Linked DNA regions of Canis lupus familiaris. Each later gene encodes a partner of the first gene's protein in a complex. Links are inferred from orthologs where the notes say so. Each region holds a gene or a part of one and is shown on either strand. Other genes may lie near its edges.

Region 1 (5,543 bases):
CTCCGATTCAGGGAGAAGGCCACAGTCAAGGGGGGCACAAGGTGAGTTAGTGGCATCTAATGTCTTATGTTGATAAACCCCACTTTTCAATGCTACCCTCTGTTGCGCATTAGTTTAAGATTCAAAACCAGGAGAATGTGCATTATGACAGATTTTACTTGTTTTGATGGAGTTTTCCTATCTGGCGACGTATTTGTGAACAATAGGCACAAATTTATGAAACAGATGAATACTGTTCAGTTATAATCTATAACCTCAGATAACAAATGTCTCTCAATATTATGTTTCTGACCTTGTTTTATGTAGATAGTAGTCTTATTAAATAAACCTACCTATTTATTTAGCTGAGAATATTAACATCACAGTAAAATTATATTAAAATGAATTTCTAAAAGAACGATTTATCACCCGGTTTAATATTCTGCAGAGACAAATTTCTACTTGACCCACGTAAACCTTGTTCTTTCTTAAGACGGTGTCCATCTATAAGCCCTCTATCGGAATAATGCTGTTTGTCTAAACTTCCACAATGACTAGTTTACTATTAAATAGGAGTCCAGGGATCCCTGGGTGGCTCAGCGGTTTAGCGCCTGCCTTTGACCCAGGACTTGATCCTGGAGTCCTGGGATTGAATCCCTCATCAGGCTCCCTACATGGAGCCTGCTTCTCCCTCTGCTTGTGTGTGTGTGGGTGTGTGTGTTAATGAATAAATAAATAAAATCTAAAAAAAAAAATAGGAGGGAATGGAGATCACAGAGATTATCCCATGCACTGAGAAATCTTTTTTTTTTTTTTTTGATGGCATTAGAGACAGGCAGAGGAAAGAGAGAAAAAGTAGTTGCTGAAGAATGGCAACTGAAGGTAAGTGATGGAGAGTAGTGAGGTTTTTATCTTATTTTGGGAGAGAGAGAGAATTGAGGTAGGAGCATTGGAGAAGTCCAGCTGAAAAGAATTCAAAAGGAACATATTCATAATTATTTGAGTCAAACTTAAGGTGAGAAATAAAAGTACAGAGATAAAAATAGGAAAAATTATAATTTTTTATTTTTATTTATTTATTTATTTTTAATGTTTTTTAAAATTTTTTATTTATTTATCATAGTCACACAGAGAGAGAGAGAGAGGCAGAGACACAGGCAGAGGGAGAAGCAGGCTCCATGCACCGGGAGCCCGACGTGGGATTCGATCCCGGGTCTCCAGGCCAAAGGCAGGCGCCAAACCGCTGCGTCACCCAGGGATCCCGGAAAAATTATAATTTTAATAGTTAACGATTATTGATCTGTTCGCTGTTTTGCAGAGGAGAAGGTGAGACGCAGAGTGTTTCAACAGTTTGCCCAAATTGGCACAGCTAGGAAATCAGAGAGCTTGAATTCCAATCCTGGCAATCTGAACCACGGAAGCCGGGTGAGAGCGAGAAAGGAGGAAAAGCGGCCCATCCAGGGAGTGGTCAGTTCCAACTTTCAAATCGCCGCCGCCGGCCCGCCAAGGCGTCACAAAGCCCGCCCCCCAGCCGCCAAGCCACGCCCCCTTCCGTGGCTGCTCTCCCAGCTCCCAATACTTCCCTCCTTCCCCTAGGCCCCGCCCACTCCGCCAAGCATCATTTCCTGTGCGCTGGCTGCTAATTGGCCTAGCGGTCGGAAGTGAGGGCGGGCGGTGGGGCCGTTGCCGCAGTGACAGTGCTGGGGGAGTCCGAAGATGGCGGCGTCGCGTCGCTCTCAGCATCATCACCACCATCATCAACAACAGCTCCAGCCCGCCCCAGGGGCTTCGGCGCCGCCGCCACCACCTCCCCCCCCACTCAGCCCCGGCCTGGCCCCGGGGACCACCCCAGCCTCCCCAACGGCGGGCGGCCTGGCCCCCTTCGCCTCCCCGCGGCACGGCCTAGCGCTGCCGGAGGGGGATGGCAGTCGGGATCCGCCCGACAGGCCTCGATCCCCGGAGCCGGTTGACAGTACCAGCTGTTGCAGTACCACCAGCACAATCTGTACCGTCGCCGCCGCTCCCGTGGCCCCGGCGGTGTCCGCTTCATCTGCCGTGGGGGTCGCTCCCAACCCAGCCGGCGGTGGCAGTAACAATTCACCGTCGTCCTCTTCTTCCCCGACTTCTTCCTCATCTTCCTCTCCATCCTCCCCCGGATCGAGCTTGGCGGAGAGCCCCGAGGCGGCAGGAGTTAGCACCACAGCAACACTGGGGCCTGGGGCAGCGGGGCCTGGGCCAGGGGTCCCAGCAGTGAGCGGGGCCCTACGGGAACTGTTGGAGGCCTGTCGCAATGGGGACGTGTCCCGGGTCAAGAGGCTGGTGGACGCGGCAAACGTGAATGCTAAGGACATGGCCGGCCGGAAGTCTTCTCCCCTGCACTTCGCTGCAGGTCAGAGACTTTTGTTTCTTCAGGGGTTCGGTCTTGGGAATGGGGGTCCGGGTAGGGACGGAAAGCCAGCGGCGATGGAAGGGGACGGGGGCGTGGCTGTGGCTCTTCCAACGCCTGGCGGGAGGGCTCGGGGTTCCTTTCTTTAGGTTAGTGCCTGGAGGACGGGGGCGTGGTAGGGGGAAGGTGTGAATCCGTTCTTTTTGGAGCGTTCGCCTACCGCGTGGTACTTGCACTCGTCTCCAAACCCCCTTAGCGGTAGTCTCCGGGTATGGGTGTGCTTGAACTTTCCTCAGTTCCCAGTGTGAAGGAATAAAGTTAGATTTGGGCAGTCTTAAGAGTTTTGCCATTTGTTTCCTTAGTTTATTTCGTTTATTTTTATTTTTATTTATTATTTATTTATTTTTTTTTTACAACATATACAAGGGTATGTGTCCCATGAGAACAGTCTAGACCAAAAGAAGTTTGATGTACCTCAACAAGTGTTGAAGGATCTATCCTACTTTTCCGAAGCCCATGGAAGACATGAATGAAATCTGTGACACTTTTTCTCTTCCTCAAGGAGTTTACAGTCTAATTGGGTAGATTTAAAATGTGCCTGTATGAAACAACCGGAGAGGAATATTTGGATGCGTTATGTGATGGTGGAAGAAATAAAGGCTTTGAAGCCCTGGACACTCCTATTTGTTAGTTGCCTGACAGTTTACCTTATCTTGATTGCCTCAGTTTTCTTTTTTTTTTTTTTAAGTGTCCTTCTTTTTTTTTTTTTTTTTAAGATTTTATTTATTTATTCATGAGAGACACAGAGAGAGGCAGAGACACAGACAGAGGGAGAAGCAGGCTCCATGCTGGGACTCCAGGATCAGCCCTGGGCCAAAGGCAGGCGCTAAACCACTGAGCCACCCAGGGATCCCCTTGCCTCAGTTTTTTCAGTGACAAAATGATATCTAGGTTTGTGTGAGGATTTAGTGAGAAGCACCTGGCACATTGGTTCTCCCCCCCCCAAAAAAAACGCTAGTTCCTAAATCGTGGACCACACACTTTTTGTCTTTTTTTTTTTTTTTTAAGTCAAGTAGTTGACCCTTGTCTTTTAAAGCCATATAAAATGTTTTTATAAAATACAAAGAAGTATTCAAAAAAGGACTGTAATCTCACTGCCCAGATATCTACTATTATATTCCAAAAGATGAAGGTAATGTTACATACATTATAAACATTACATTAAAAATGTATGTATATATACATGATACAGTTCACATAGGATAGAAAGACAAAATGAAAAAGCACCAGGCCCACACACAAACATCAAAGATAACACGCTGAAGATACCTTCTGTTACGTTTCTTGCTGTTGCTCATACCTACCACTCTTTTAATTTGTTCTATTTATGGTAAAATATATAGTAAGAACTTATTAAGGTATTGTTTGTTTTTCCCCCCAACTTGAAAGATAATATTACCCTCATTTTACAGGTGACAAAAATGAAGCACAAACTGTTTAAGTAAGTCCTAATTGACACAGAAAGTCTTGGAATCTGGATTTGAACTCAGTTTGATTTTAGAGCTCGTGAAATCAAGCTTAAACTGTTAAAACCTCTCCCTGGGCTACAGTCACTTTTCATTTTGAGAAGTTGTGATGGAGAGTTTCTGTTTTTGCGGTGTTTTGGGGGAAGAAGTAATTGGGAGCTGAAACTCCTGAGTAGCATTCACACTTTTTTTTTTTTTTTTTTTTTTATTGCAGCCCACACTTAGGTATTTATTTTACATCGTCTCACACACGCAGAAGTAGAATCAAAAGTTTCAAGAAATAATACTTTCCCTTATTACATGTGCTGTCTTCTTATATTTTATATCTTATTCCATTCATTTTGTTTTACAACTGCTGTCTGTGGTTCATTAATGGGTCACAAACATGAGAAATACAGGGAATCAATATTAGGTTCCTGGATCCATTCTTGACATATAGATACATATTAGATAATATAGGTCCTATTAGGGATTTAGTGAATTGAATCATAAACAGACTTCCATATAACTAGATATTTGCTCCGGGGTGTTGCCTATCTTAGATGAAGTAGCATTTCTTTTTCTTTAGGTCTTGTGAAAGGTCTAAGTCTGATATACTGGATCAACTGAGGTTGTTTTCTTTTGCATACTTTGTTCCAAATTGGACTGTTTTAGCACATATCAAAATCTTGTCATTCTTCGCCATGCCATGTTATAAATAATCATTAACAGATGATAGTTTTATTTATTTCTATGATAATGTACTTATTTAGGGTAGTCACACATAAAATAGTGCATGTCTCCCCAATCAACTTATTCCCGTTTGCCACAATAGTTTCTCTTATTGTTTTAGAGTTTTACATGTGCTCAGAGAAGTTACCAGACAGACAGTAAAACACAGTCCTGTAAAGGTGTTGTAATTATGAGAACCTGACTTTGAACTGGTTTTTTAAGAAACAAAATTTTTAGTTTGTACTGATTTTTTAGTTTTTACTTTATACCGCGTAGCGTTATATGTGGTATAAAAACATAACACTCTGTAGTCAGTTTCTTATACTTTGATATTTGTGTGCAGAGTATAACAAATTGGTTAAGTCTGACCTTTTGCCATGTGTAGGGTGAGTAGTTAACAGGATGATTCTTGGTTAGGATTCGAGTAATGGGATTGTCATGGAAAAGCCATTTTAAAAGAGGAAACTGGAACAATCCCTGGGATGGAAAAGTTTAGAAATTGTAATTCATTTGCTCTACAAATGTTTTGTTACTTGTTATAGATCACGTGTTAAATACTGACACAATTTTGACATGGCAGATAGTCTTTGCCCTTACGGAGCTTACAATCTAATAGGGGAGACTAAACAAGAACAGCAGTAATAACAAAACCCTATAAAGTACGTAACCTGGAGTTACTGTAATGTACTGTTGTGGAGAAGGTGATAGGGATTCTTGTCCTGGTTTTAGGGCATTTAACAAAATCTTTCTAGATAAACAGGGACTTAAAGAATGAGTCCAATCTAGCCAAGCAAAGTTTGGAGAGGAAGAATTTTAATTAAACCTTTATTTCCATTTAGAAATGGGTTTACAGTTCTTTAGAAGTCATATTTAAATCCTATGACTTTTAAAAATACAGTAATTCTTTCCAGCAGCAGAATTAAGATTTTTTTTCTATCCCA
Region 2 (5,639 bases), on another chromosome or scaffold:
TCTTTTATTGTCCTCCCTGTCCAGAAATAAATGCATGCTTGGCTCCACTAAAACACTCAGATCCAAAAGAGTTGTTCCTGTCTAATCATACTAACTTTAAGGCTTTAAAGGAAGATTCAGAGGCAATTAACGATTTGTGCAAGGTCACAGAAAGGTGATTTAGGTCCAATCCACACTTCACTACACAGCGTATATTCCAACAGTAGTCCATGGTTTCTCAATAATTAAATCCTGAGATTCAGTTAGGAAACTAAATTACTGCATTTGCATTCCTTTTAGAAAACATTCACTCATTATTTCACTCATCAAATATTTACTGAAACCTATTATGTGCAAGACACCATTATTCTAAGCTCTATAATGAAACAAAATAGGCAAAATACCTAGCCTTATAAACCTTATATTTTACCCAACTCAGAAAGATACGTTTAATGTAAATAGTACCCAGCTCACTTCACTCTGTACATCAGTTTGATCCCTAGGAGGAAGCCTTCTATTGGTGCCCTAAGGAATCCTCATTTGGGACCTGAGGCTATACATAGGTACCAAATTTTTGAGATCTAAGGATGCTACACTTAGGTAAATATAAAGTACAAATGTTGAACCTACATGTTCATGAAACCACCTGGGTGGCTCAGTGGTGGAGTATCTACCTTTGGCTCAGGTTGTGATCCCAGGGGCCTGGGATGAAGTCCCACATCCGGCTCCCCTCAGGGAGCCTGCTTCTCCCTCTGCCTCTCTGTGTCTCTCATGCATAAATAAATAAATAAAATCTTAAAGAAAAAGAAGAAGATACATGTTCAAGACTAAGATTATGGACAGGATTTAATGGTAGCTAATCTGCCACCAACTCCACCTAACCTGTATCACCTAAACCTCAGAAAAGCAGCTTTCTGCAGTTTTATTACATCTCATAACTCCCCGCCATGACCAAACTTCAACAACCAAGCAAAGAACACATCAGAGGAAAAGACAGCCAAGCCAGCCCCTTGGCTTATACCATGGCAAGCTACTTTGCAGGTGAACAAAAGACCTATGAAAGAAAGCTTTGTGTTGTGCTGCTTAAATAAATAAATAAATAAATAAATAAATAAATAAATAAGTCAAAAATCATTCTTACTAATCATCCTTCTGGAAAAAAAATCTTGAAAATATAATAAACTTCCAACCTCCAGAATAAAACTACATACATAAAACTAATACATATGTGCATTCACATGCATAATTTTAAGGAGAGCAGAAAATAGGCTAAATTTTGATTATGCAAATGCACTAACACTTCTTGTTTGTATAATAATTCATAAAGTTTCTAAGTGAAAACAAAGAGTTTCACTTTTGTTTCTTCTAAAGTATGAAGTTCACTTCCTAGTTACTAGCTTGTAGTCCGCTTCCTAGTTACTAATCTGGTGAATTTAAGCCTATGAATTTATCTGTAATGGATGGTTTAAAGTACTTATACCTAAATAAACATTTTTAAACAGTTCTGAGTAACAAATAGTATATCACTGCAAAAAAGTAAATAAACACATTGTTTCTTTTCAAAAACCCCATAAATACCATTATGGAAGTATAAAAATAAATGCATAATAAAAATTGCTCCAATAAAAATTCCCCAGTATCCCAAAAGATCTGACACATACACTAACAATAGCATCATAATAGTAATATTTTGGATCAACAACTATTCCCTTTGTGTAAGGAGGGGACTCATGAAGCTGGGAAACTGGATTTGATGGCCAAGATCATCTTTAGTAATTTGATTCGAGAACCTACGATTTTATGCATAAACCTCTGAACCAGGCAGATCTGCATTATCTGATTCGACGCTAGAAAAAGTCAACTTTAAAAAAAAAAAAAAAAAACCCTCACAAACTTCTTACCATTGCTCAGGCTTAAAAGACGTGAAAAGTAGGAGCCACATTTCCCACTTTCAAACAATAATCAGGCTTTAATATTCAACACTGTGAAGAGAGCTATAAACAAAAAACGATACCAAACCTATTAAATCCTGCTTAGCATACATATGAACACAAGATCCTGCTCTAAGTATTAACACTTTATCACATACTTAACATCAAAAACTAAAGTTTAAGATATTCAAAATAGAATACAAGGAGTAGATAATAAACTATTCTAAACTCCCATTAGTAAACCTAGAATCCTTTCACTGCAAATAAATCGCAGTCTGCAACAACCTTCTGAATTTGCCAGGAGCAGTTAACTTACACAAGAGTTCCAAAGACAACTTTCCCAAAGTGCCTAAAATAACAATGCACTATCCTTGCTTTCCAAAATTCTTGAGCATCTTCAATTACCTCAAGTACTATCTAGAATTCTAAAAATAATCTCAAAGCAAAAACTTAGCAGTGAGTAGACAGACCGTCCCCTCTAGGACAGCAGGCCTCGTTCTGAAATCAAGCACAGGTAGGATACAAACTACGCCAAAACTACCACAGGGTGGGGCATTCATTACTCGCTCAGATAAGCCAAACACAGCTTTGGTTGCTGCTCCCAGTAAACCCCTAGTGACTCCCCAAATTTCAACACGACTAAAGCAATGTTTTCCTTTTGCCCAAAATGCTTTTCACAGAATGCCAAAAAAAAAAAGTCATAGCCAACACTTCAAGATAGGGTGCAAGCCATGATAATGCACTTGAGATTCTGGAAACCAAATCTCCAATAAAATGAATGTCAAAGATCTGAAGCTGCACACAGATTTTTTTATTTTATTTTATTTTTTTACTTACGTGGCCATTTGAATGTGTGACTGAGGCAAGAGTCAAGGGTGAAGGATGGAATAAGGTCAAACTTAGCAGACAAAAGATCCCTGGAATAAACATGGCCAGAAAGGTCTCCTTTCGAAGGGGCAGGGTGTATGTTCAGAGAGAAAGAAAAAAAAAAAAAAGAAAAGAAAGAAAGAAAGAGAAAAAAGGGAAAAGAAGAACAAACCAAATCGTCTACTTTCTAACACAAGAGTCCACCTGGTAACCGTACCTGCCCCGCCAAGCAGGCAACTCCATTCTGGTAGCGATCCCGTCTGCAAAATAGCAGGCCTGGAAGGCTCCCACCTTCGACATAAGATAGTGTTCAGGAAGGATGACAACCGGCTGCCTTTTTTTTTTTTTTTTTTTTTTTCAAAAAAGGAAGGAGGTGAATAAAGTTTAATTCCGAAGCCCCGTAAGGAGTGTAGCAACGTGAGGGTCGCTCCCAGTACGCAGCGGGCACTGTCGGCTGCAGGAGAGCGATCGGCAAGACGGAAGCGGGCCGAGACCCACCAGGTAGGTCCCCCCACTCCCCACGCTGGGCGCGACGCCCCGAAGGCGCGGGCGGGCAAGCCCGGGGCGGCGCAGGGGGAGGCCGGGAGCGGGGAGGAGCGGGGAGGAGCGGGGCCCGGCCGCGCCGGCTCCGGGCTCCGTGCTCCGTGCTCCGTGCTCCGGGCTCCGGGCTCCGGGCTCCGGGCTCGCCTCACCTTCTGCGCCGCGCTCTGCTGCAGCACGTTCTGCTCCACGGTCATGGCCCCCGCGGCGCCGGCGGCGACTCGGGCGGCGGCGGGCGGGTCCTCGCGCCTCCGCCGGCCCTGGCAGCCGCGCTCCGCCGAGCTCCGGGGAGCGGCGCGGACCGCCGGGGAGGACAGCGCCCCCGCCAGCCAGGCGCGAAGGCGATGGCGGCCGGCGTGCGCGGGCACCGCGGGCTGGCGGCGAGGCGCGGACGGCGAGGGCCACGGCGGCAGCCCCACGACTCCGCGCGGCCCGCCTCAGCGCGGCTGCTGCGCCGCGGCCGGGGCCATGGGCGGGGGCGCGCGGGGGCGGCGGGGCGGGGGGCGCGGGGGTGGGGGGCGAGCAAGCCGGGCCGCGTCACGCGCGCGCTCCCTGGCCGGCGCCTCGCGGGCCACCGCGGGGAAGGGGCAGCGGACGGAGGGAGCGGCGGGCCGGAATGGCGCTCTTCTCCTCGCTGCCCGGCTCCACCTCCCCTCCCCTCCCCCACCCGCCGGCACCGCCCCCGCCCGGCGGCTCCGCCCCCGCCGAGCCCCGCCCGCCGGCCGCCCTAACCCTAGATTGTGACCCGCGGGGCGGCCCCGGCCCCGCCCCCGGCCCCGCCCCGCCCCCGGCCCGGCCCCGCCCCCGGCCCGGCCCAGCCCCGCCCCGCCCTGCGCGTTCCCGGTGGGGGGGGGCGAGGGCGCGCCCCGCGGGCTCGGGCTCGGGCTCGGGCTCGGGCTCGGCCTCGGAGCCGCCCCTGCGGCAGGTTGCGCGGTCGTGCCCTTGGCTGCGCGAGGCTCGGAGCCCGGGCCGCGGGGCGCGCTCTCTCGGGGCCCGGACCGCCCGGATCGCCGGCTTTCCGAACTCCTCCGAGACAGAACCTTTAAAGCCCCTTGAGCCCGGTAACGTCCCGAACCCCGGCTCCTTTCTGGGTCCCCGGTCCTCCCCCCTCGCCTTTCTAGGAATTTCACGAGCAGTAAACTTGCCCGGAGGGAAGAAGTCAAGTGTGACTTCAGCAAAGGGCTGTCAGAAGTCCTGAGGCTGGAATGTACTTTCCTCCGTAACTGATCGTTACACAAATGAATATTGATATTCTCCGTCTGCTTCATTCACGCAAACAGGTACCTACCAGTCGTTGCGAGGCTCTGGAGAAAGAAGGGTTATTTCCTGAAGATTTGATAAAAATGAAATACGGTCTATACAACAGACAAAAGTATCACTGCCCGGGGGGTGCATAATCCGATATACCAGTTGTCAAACAATTAGCGATGAACCTTCCTGCGTGGAAAACTTGACCGTATATGGAATTGAAAGAAAAACTTGACATCGAGAAGGCGATCTCTGCTCTCAAAAAAACCTTGAGCTTCGCGAGCTCATCTGGGGATAGGAGGTGAGGGTGTGGCAATGAGAGGGACAGAATAATCAGTCCATCTTGTCGTAAATGCATTACACACCTATGCAAATCCGGGTATAATTTTTAATCTGATGGCAAGAAAAGCAAGCTTAGTGAATGATCACTGAGATATTATCCGGTTTTATATAATAATCATGGATCATAGTGATCCTTAAGGCTTTGTAACAAATCTGTGCACTTCGCAGCCGTCCTTGCTTCACACCTCAGATATTTTCAATCAGCATTTGAGATCCTTCCCTGGAGTCTTCATATGTATTTGATTTTGACATATTACGAACTTAATTCTATTGATATCCTATGTTTTCACCGGAGGAATTTGAAAAGTTGTGAAGTGGTTGGAAACACAGAATTTTAGGAATAATGCAATAGCTCTCCTAGAATGCACAATTCTGTTGTGAGAACACTGAGACTCAAAGGAGGCTACTTGCCAAAGAAAGCAAACTAGAGCCCATTTTACCTCATTTACAGACCGAAGTTCTGTCCAACATCATATTCATGTTTCTATTATGGATTAAAAAAAATAAAAAAGAACTCTATCCAGTTCATGACATTTGAATATAAGAAAGTTAAATTTAACATAAAAAATGTAGTACTAGGATTTTAAAAAGATACTGCCACATACTAAACTTTAGTTTTGTTTTTCTGAGTTAAATTGTTAGTTCCACAGAAAATGTTATTTTACCAGTGGTTACTAGATAATTATTAAATAAATGTTTTTATAGGATAGTCATATTTGCCCACTTTGATCA

Evidence for each region. The genes of interacting proteins can lie anywhere in the genome.
Region 2: the proteins of TNKS (region 1) and USP25 are in contact, whole or in part, in a crystal structure (PDB 5GP7), measured with the Homo sapiens proteins. The link is inferred for Canis lupus familiaris from reciprocal best matches to the Homo sapiens genes TNKS and USP25. Residues at the interface, in NP_003738.2 of Homo sapiens: Arg836, Ser838, His842, Leu843, Gly846, Tyr847, Leu871, Asn876, Ser879, Tyr880, His882, Asp900, Trp902, Phe904, Glu909, Gln912, Lys913, Gln934, Glu935; in NP_037528.3 of Homo sapiens: Ser1046, Ser1048, Arg1049, Thr1050, Pro1051, Ala1052, Asp1053, Gly1054, Arg1055.

The regions. Positions count from the first base shown.
Region 1 is NC_049237.1:35,853,214-35,858,756, reverse strand, and holds the start of TNKS (poly [ADP-ribose] polymerase tankyrase-1), read left to right. Parts: upstream 1-1,661; 5' UTR 1,662-1,695; coding exon 1,696-2,368; intron 2,369-5,543.
Region 2 is NC_049252.1:12,987,816-12,993,454, reverse strand, and holds the start of USP25 (ubiquitin carboxyl-terminal hydrolase 25), read right to left. Parts: upstream 3,589-5,639; 5' UTR 3,515-3,588; coding exon 3,470-3,514; intron 3,279-3,469; exon of another isoform or gene 3,175-3,278; intron 3,056-3,174; exon of another isoform or gene 2,995-3,055; intron 1-2,994. UniProt on the Homo sapiens protein: Deubiquitinating enzyme that hydrolyzes ubiquitin moieties conjugated to substrates and thus, functions in various biological processes including inflammation and immune response.